Arabidopsis thaliana: one gene and its partner. The protein of the gene in region 1 interacts with the protein of each later gene in a pairwise test. Each region holds a gene or a part of one and is shown on either strand. Other genes may lie near its edges.

Region 1 (3,757 bases):
TACACCTCTAAAGCCGCAGACGCCGAGCGTGTCGCGTCGGAGATCAATGATTTTCCAGTTAGGGAAGAAATCACTGGAAAGGGACCAAGAGCTATTGTGGTTCAGGCCAATGTCTCTGAGCCAAGCCAGGTTAAATCAATGTTTGATGCGGCGGAGAGTGCCTTTGAAGCGCCGGTTCACATTCTGGTTAACTCTGCTGGGATTCTCGATCCAAAGTACCCTACGATCGCAGACACATCAGTCGAAGATTTCGATCATACGTTCAGGTATATACTCGATACTGTTCGTTGATTGGGTTCGTTATAGAAAGCTGATTCCTTTAGAGAATTTATCTTCATTGATTGGGTTCTTGTCTTCCCGCTCAATACTGGAAAAGTAAACTTTTTTTTGTTAATTAGTTAGGTTGATGATTATGTATAAGTTCTTGATCAATTGTTACATGTTCTATGATTTTGAGTTAGAAAGCTGATTCCTTTAGTATATTTCAACTGAGATTTTAGTGGAATCTGTGTTCTTGTTCACTCTCCATGAACCATGAAATTATATGTTCCGTGTTCTTTAGATTTGTATGTCTAATTATGAGTCAAATGCAACATGTCTCGTGTTCTTGTGGCTAATTAATCGACTTATGTTTCTTGTTTCATCCAATGTTCCATGTTCGTGAGATTTGTATGTCTAATTTCCAACTAAAGTTCCTTCATTCTTGTTTCCAATAATCCTCTGTTTGTTTCTTTTAAAATGGAGTGTAGTGTCAACACAAAAGGAGCGTTCCTGTGTAGCAAGGAAGCTGCCAATAGGCTAAAACAAGGAGGTGGTGGTCGGATCATACTTCTGACATCTTCCCAGACTCGATCTTTAAAGCCAGGGTTTGGTGCCTATGCCGCATCAAAGGCAGCTGTGGAAACTATGGTCAAGATTCTTGCAAAAGAGCTCAAAGGAACAGGAATCACTGCAAACTGTGTTGCTCCAGGACCCATCGCCACTGAGATGTTCTTTGATGGAAAGACCCCAGAGTTGGTGGAAAAGATAGCCGCAGAGTCTCCCTTTGGGAGGGTCGGCGAAGCCAAAGACGTGGTGCCTCTTGTTGGATTCTTGGCTGGTGACGGTGGTGAATGGGTCAATGGTCAAATCATTCCTGTTAATGGTGGATATGTATAAAAGAGTTCGTCTTGAGAGGAGCCTCTTCCTGATACCTTGAGAAGCAAATGTAGGGGTTAACTTGTTAGAAATAAAACATTGGGTTCAATTGGAATAATAATAATAATAAACACTGAGGTTGAAAATAAATGTCTTAACCATCTTAATAAAACACTCGTGACTCACCTATGTCCAAAAAAATATATCCAAATTTCTTCTTCTTTTTTTGTCGACATCCTTTTGTTGTTGTCGTCGACATCTAACTTTTGAATTTCTTAAAAACCTTATGTTTAATTTACAAACTCGTGTCTTCGTACTGACACATTCATTGGAACCACTTTATGTTTTATATAATTCAATTTATCATCACCCACCATTCGAATAATCTTTGGGATAAACGTCGTTTGTTGAAATACAACTACAGAATAAAAAAATGGTTTAAGAATATGGCAAGTGCAACAACACCTAAAAGTCTAAAAACAATATCCTTGAAGCATCTTAAATCTCTTAAAATATATCAGATGTGTGACGAATAATCAACGCATGCTCTTGTATCCATAAACTTCAAAAGCCAATCGAAAGTATTGGATAATAATAATAATAAATGCAGTGGAAAAAAAAAGATGATAAAGGAATTTTCATTACACACACACACCTACCCAAACAAGTTTTTATATAAACAGTATCCAACTCTCTTCTTTACCCTCAAACCCAAACACATAAAAAAATGAGTCAACACAACATCTTAGAAGCTCTAAATGTCCGGGTCGTGGGTACGGGTGATCGGATCCTGTTTTTGGCCCATGGATTCGGTACTGACCAATCAGCTTGGCACTTGATCCTTCCTTACTTCACTCAAAACTACAGAGTCGTCCTCTATGACCTAGTTTGCGCCGGCAGTGTCAACCCCGATTACTTCGATTTCAATCGTTACACAACTCTCGATCCTTACGTCGATGATCTTCTCAACATCGTTGATTCACTCGGAATCCAAAACTGTGCTTACGTTGGTCACTCTGTTTCCGCTATGATCGGAATCATCGCTTCGATTCGTCGGCCGGAGCTTTTCTCCAAGCTTATCTTGATCGGATTTTCGCCTAGGTTTCTCAACGACGAGGATTATCATGGAGGATTCGAAGAAGGTGAGATTGAGAAAGTTTTCTCAGCTATGGAAGCTAATTACGAAGCTTGGGTTCATGGATTTGCTCCGCTTGCTGTTGGAGCTGATGTTCCGGCGGCGGTTAGAGAATTTAGCCGGACTTTGTTTAATATGCGTCCGGATATATCTCTGTTTGTTTCGAGGACGGTTTTCAACAGCGATCTGAGAGGTGTGCTTGGGTTAGTTAGAGTTCCGACGTGTGTGATTCAGACGGCGAAGGATGTTTCTGTGCCGGCTTCGGTGGCGGAGTATCTTAGGTCTCATCTCGGTGGAGATACTACTGTGGAGACTCTTAAAACTGAAGGACATTTGCCGCAGCTTAGTGCTCCGGCGCAGCTTGCTCAGTTTCTCCGGCGAGCTCTTCCTCGGTGACTTTTTTTTATAGATATAAAAAGAGAACAATAAAATATAATTGGTGGAATATGGGTTTAGTGGGGTCCACGTATCGAAGAAAAGAAGGGCCTCTATTTGTGGAGGACAGTTTGGCATTGTCACAAATCTAGTAAGATAAGATTGTTCACTTGACACGTGACTTTCGCTTTTTTATCACTTTTTTTCTTGCTCTCTTCATTAGTTTATAATCACAAGTTTATTTCATAAAATAATTGGAGAATAACCAAAAAAAACATTAAAAAATCCTATCTTATCTTTTACTTTCCTCTGAATATTTCTATCCATATTGTTGTTTCTTGTAAGTTCCTGGACCTTGTATTGATTGACGTCTAACAACACATCGATGCAACAACAATCTTTAGTCTCAACACTTTCGATTGTTTTCTCTAATAAAATGATGGAGACAAAAAGATATAAAGTATACTAGAAAATTCTAGCATCACATCGTAAAAGTATCAACAACTAAAATGAAGCAACTATGGCTGACATAATCTTGATTTAAGTTTTATAGTATGCAACTATGCATGTGTGTTCTAAATAATTTTAAAGTTAATAAAATTGGTTAGTTGTATAATGTTGTTACCGTGCTATATATAATACAAGTTAAGATTTGAGAAAGTGAGTGTGTGAATTCTAGAAGACAATCACACAACGAAAACACGTCCTATCAATCTAAACTTTTGAGCAATTCAAAATGCATACGAATTGACAGGTTAAGACAAATCTAAAAACATTTTCAGCAATTCAATTTGCTTACGAATTTGACAGCATAAGACAAATCTAACCATCACCACTACAAATTGCTTGCTTACACTCTTTTAGCACGTTGTCATCATTTCTACCCTAAATATAGAAAAGTAAATTTATAGTAAAATCTACCTAACAGTATGGCTGCAGCGTCATCAGTTTCTTCTCCACCGCTTTGCCTCGCCGGTCGAGTAGCTATAGTCACAGGATCTTCTCGAGGAATAGGTCGTGCCATAGCCATCCACCTTGCCGAGCTTGGGGCTAGGGTCGTCGTTAATTACTCAACTAGCCCCGTTGAGGCTGAGAAGGTTGCCACGGCGA
Region 2 (3,757 bases), on another chromosome or scaffold:
GAGCGAAATTACAAGTAGAATCGCTATCAAGTATCGTGTTCTCGACTTCATCCTAATTCTACTTGATTTGCTCATCGATAAACACTTTGATACATAAATGTTACAACTTGTATTATATTGTTCCCTTGTTTTAAGGATGTCCTAGGTTAAAGAGGGAAGCTCGGAACCCTTGTTTCAACTACTCTCTCTATTTTAATTTAATGGTTTTCTTAACTACAACTTGATCCGCATTTGAAGCTTTCTTCACAATTACAAACCATAAATGAAAATAATTTAATTTTGGGTAGAAATATTTATTAACATTAAAAGTCTTTGGAAGAAAGGGAAAAACACATATTGCAATCATAAAGTGTAAGGAATACAGACCAAGGAACTAAAACCAAAACAAGAAACCTACCGTTATGGTATTAATGTACAAAACAAGACATTAAATTAAGCCATAACAAATTGAAACAGTAGTAGTCCATATGACATCACATGACCACACAAGCCGCCGGGTTCTCGTCGCTAAATGCAGTGGTGTAGCGGACCTCGGTGGAGCTAGCACGAGCCAGCTGCGACACTCCGGGGTCGTCGACTCTTCGGACATAACCGGAGGGTGCCTTCTTGTCGTAGACACCGGCAGCGTAAGGATGAGCGACCACGTCGTAGGGCACATATGGCCAGAGCTCGACTTTCTTGCCGGTCCTGTGAGACATTCGAGCCACCACCTTGTTGGGATCGACGTAGCCGACTACAGTGACTTTATGGGCTTTGGGCTCCAACGTCACAGAAGACACACCCTTCATGCCTTCGACAGAACGCCGCACTTTCCGCTCGCAACCTTCGCAGTCCATTTTCACTTTAATCTCCACCGTCTATCCTCATCAAGCAGTCGACACAAAACGACAAAATTAGCCTACTTTAAAAATATCTAAGAAGAATAGTAAATGTCCACAATTGAAAGACTTTAACCATATCATCATGACTAGTGAGAAAAATTAACGTGGTTGGTTTCCCCGGAAATTAATGATTTTATATAGTATTCCTGACAGCGAGAAGAATACAAATCCCGGTGTAAAATCTAACAGATGGCTGTATCAACTTATATTTCAGATTAAAAGAATCTATTCGGTCGGCGTTAGGAAGGAACATTAACTCAAAACAAAAACTGCTTCAAATAAAATCCCACTTATATCATGTAACAATTTGGATATACTTCTTCAGATAAAAAAACACAGAGATATTAAAAAAGATCTGAAGTAAGAAAGGTAACACAAATTAGCCAGCCAAAACCACAATAATAAACTTGCTAATGGCAGTCTATTTATGGAACTATAATATACGAGATCTACTAAGTAACACTCAAACTTTCCTAGTAACCATCGAAGCTAGTTTCTACTAGACTCATTCATCATAACTTTTCAACGAATTATTATGTTTGTTTTTTTGCAAACCAAGATCTAAGTTATCAGCTGAATCTGCTAAGATAAGAAAAGGAAGAGGGAAAGTACCTGCAACTGTTTGCGCTTTTTAATCTTGTGACCATGAGAGCAGTCAAACATTTCAGAGACATGATCAAGAACACCCATTTCTTCTTCTTTTTATTCCAGAAAAGGAAAAACCTGAAGAACCCAGGAGAGTTAAGAACTTTCTTTAGGAGGAGGAGGAGGAGAGAGTAGTAGAGCAGAGAGTGAAATCTGTAAAAAAGAGGGGCAAAAGGGAAAGTGGAGGTGTAAAGAAGTAAATGATGAATTGGGAGAATATATATAGGCATTATTGTAATAAGTAATACAGTATGTATCTAATTAAGTGAATGATGGATGGGTCACCTTTCTTTTCTGGTCCCAGCAGTTTCCTAGTCGCCGTCTCGATTCTTCTCTTCTTGCTAACGGTTTCCTAATTTCTAGTTTTTTTTTTTCGGTTTCTTTTTTGGATTGGCTTAAAACATTTCTTCATTCCAATTCCATGAATGAAAAAAAAAAGAGTTGTAATTTGTAAGAAAAAAATAAAATTACAATGGATAATAAAATTTTCTGTTTTGATGATGACTGAGACTGATCTTGGGACAAGAGTCGTGCGTTAGATTTTCTGCTGCTTTACTTTTTTTTTTGTTTAATAAATAATAATAAAAAAAATATATTCTTGGTGCATGGGAAGAAAGTAAAGAGAGGAGTTATTGTTTTTGGATAATCGATGATGACTCGCAAAGTCACACCGACGTACCGACCTTGATGACCAGATTTGTTTATTTTATGAAGCCCACTCCAAAATTTGGTCTAGGCTTTCTAATGGATTTTTCTGAGGCCCACTTACTTACCATTTTATATTTTTGGCGATTTTTTGACAAAAATCAACCGAGTTTTAATTCCATTTAGATTTGCAAGACTTGCAAGTAGAACCATCTGGATATCTGGACCCCCATGGGATTCAAGTTCATATATCCGAAAATCCCATCATCAATTATAGTCTTAAGCGATGAAGATACAAAGGTTTGTGGAAATTAGTAATGAGTGAGTAATGACTAATGACACAATCCGAATTCAGCAGTAAATAAAGTGTGCGTGGAAGAAGAAGAAAATTAACGATATATGCGTGTATGTATTGTTTGCAAATAAAATATGCAAATTTTCAGTGTTGAAGCGGCGAAACCGAGAAAAGTTTTACAAATAATTTAACAAATGTTAGTACTGTATTTCACAAATTGAATTTGAGAATATTAAACGAAAAAACGTTTTTGCTTGAGAGAGAGGCGAATCTGATTCTTGTGAGAGCTTCCAACAAAGTCTGCAGGCTCATCCTGCGGATCCCTTCGTTCCCAATTTCTCTTAGGCAGGTGAGAAATATTTAATTTCCCCATACTTACTTTGAGATTTGATATTTCCAGTTGCGTCTGAAAATCGATTGACCTACTTTGTTTGTGTGTGTGTGTTCACGTATTTACCGGATTTGGGGTTCCTCTGTCCGTACGCATTTTCCCACAAAGTTTGTTCCTTTTTTCTTTCTAATCTCGTGTAGGTATCCCTTCATTGGCGAGATCCTTGTTTTCTTCGTTGGGGAACAGATTGCCCAAACTGAAGTCTCTCTCTCTCTGTTATGGCTAAACAGAGACCGGCGACGTTGTCAGTCTACCTCTACATTCCCAATATCGTTGGTCGGTTTTTTGCTACTTCCTTTCTTCTGTCTTTAAAAATTTCATTTTTTTTAAACCATATGAGATTAGTGTTGTTACATGCAAAATTGGCAGGGTACATGAGAGTTCTCTTGAACTGCATTGCCTTCTCTGTGTGCTTCTCCAACAAGACACTCTTCTCCCTCTTGTACTTTTTCAGGTGACTTTATCCTTGTGGTACCAACATCATGTTCTTCTCCTTTTTTGATCTTGTGTGTTTGGTGCTTCTTCTTTCATATGTTAGTCACTCTTTACCCAATCTTGTTTCCAGTTTTTGTTGTGATGCTGTGGATGGATGGTGCGCTCGTAAATTTAACCAAGGTGCTCTTTTCATTCTCCCCATCTCTTTTCTTAGCTTCAACTAACTCATTACTTATGCTTCCTCTATGATCCTGACATTGATTAAATATGACATTTCATGTCATTGTCTCATTGATCAATATTTTTAGTCCCATACACAGTTTATTCTTGTTCTACATTATCAGAAACGATTGAACGTAACACACAACTCTTTTCCTTTCAGTCTCTACATTTGGAGCTGTTTTGGATATGGTTACAGATAGGTGAATCTTCCGCTACATATTCCCGAGTTTCAACTTGCTCATT

The links. Proteins that work in one complex are often made in the same cells at the same time.
Region 2: the proteins of AT3G03990 (region 1) and FP6 interact in binary tests that used the Arabidopsis thaliana proteins (3 or more experiments, as listed by UniProt).

The regions. Positions count from the first base shown.
Region 1 is NC_003074.8:1,031,924-1,035,680, forward strand, and holds AT3G03990 (alpha/beta-Hydrolases superfamily protein), read left to right. Parts: upstream 1-1,655; 5' UTR 1,656-1,864; coding exon 1,865-2,668; 3' UTR 2,669-3,314; downstream 3,315-3,757. Other genes in the region: AT3G03980 (NAD(P)-binding Rossmann-fold superfamily protein), read left to right, coding at 1-266, 750-1,158; AT3G04000 (NAD(P)-binding Rossmann-fold superfamily protein), read left to right, coding at 3,577-3,757. UniProt on the Arabidopsis thaliana protein: Involved in strigolactone signaling pathway. Does not move long distances acropetally in the plant to regulate shoot branching and is rapidly degraded in the presence of strigolactones.
Region 2 is NC_003075.7:18,032,410-18,036,166, reverse strand, and holds FP6 (farnesylated protein 6), read right to left. Parts: upstream 2,037-3,757; 5' UTR 1,812-2,036; intron 1,805-1,811; exon of another isoform or gene 1,680-1,804; 5' UTR 1,572-1,679; coding exon 1,494-1,571; intron 858-1,493; coding exon 474-857; 3' UTR 278-473; downstream 1-277. Other genes in the region: BGAL14 (beta-galactosidase 14), read right to left, coding at 1-51; PIS2 (Putative CDP-diacylglycerol-inositol 3-phosphatidyltransferase 2), read left to right, coding at 3,076-3,133, 3,227-3,311, 3,423-3,472, 3,675-3,714. UniProt on the Arabidopsis thaliana protein: Heavy-metal-binding protein. Binds lead, cadmium and copper. May be involved in heavy-metal transport. May be involved in cadmium transport and play a role in cadmium detoxification.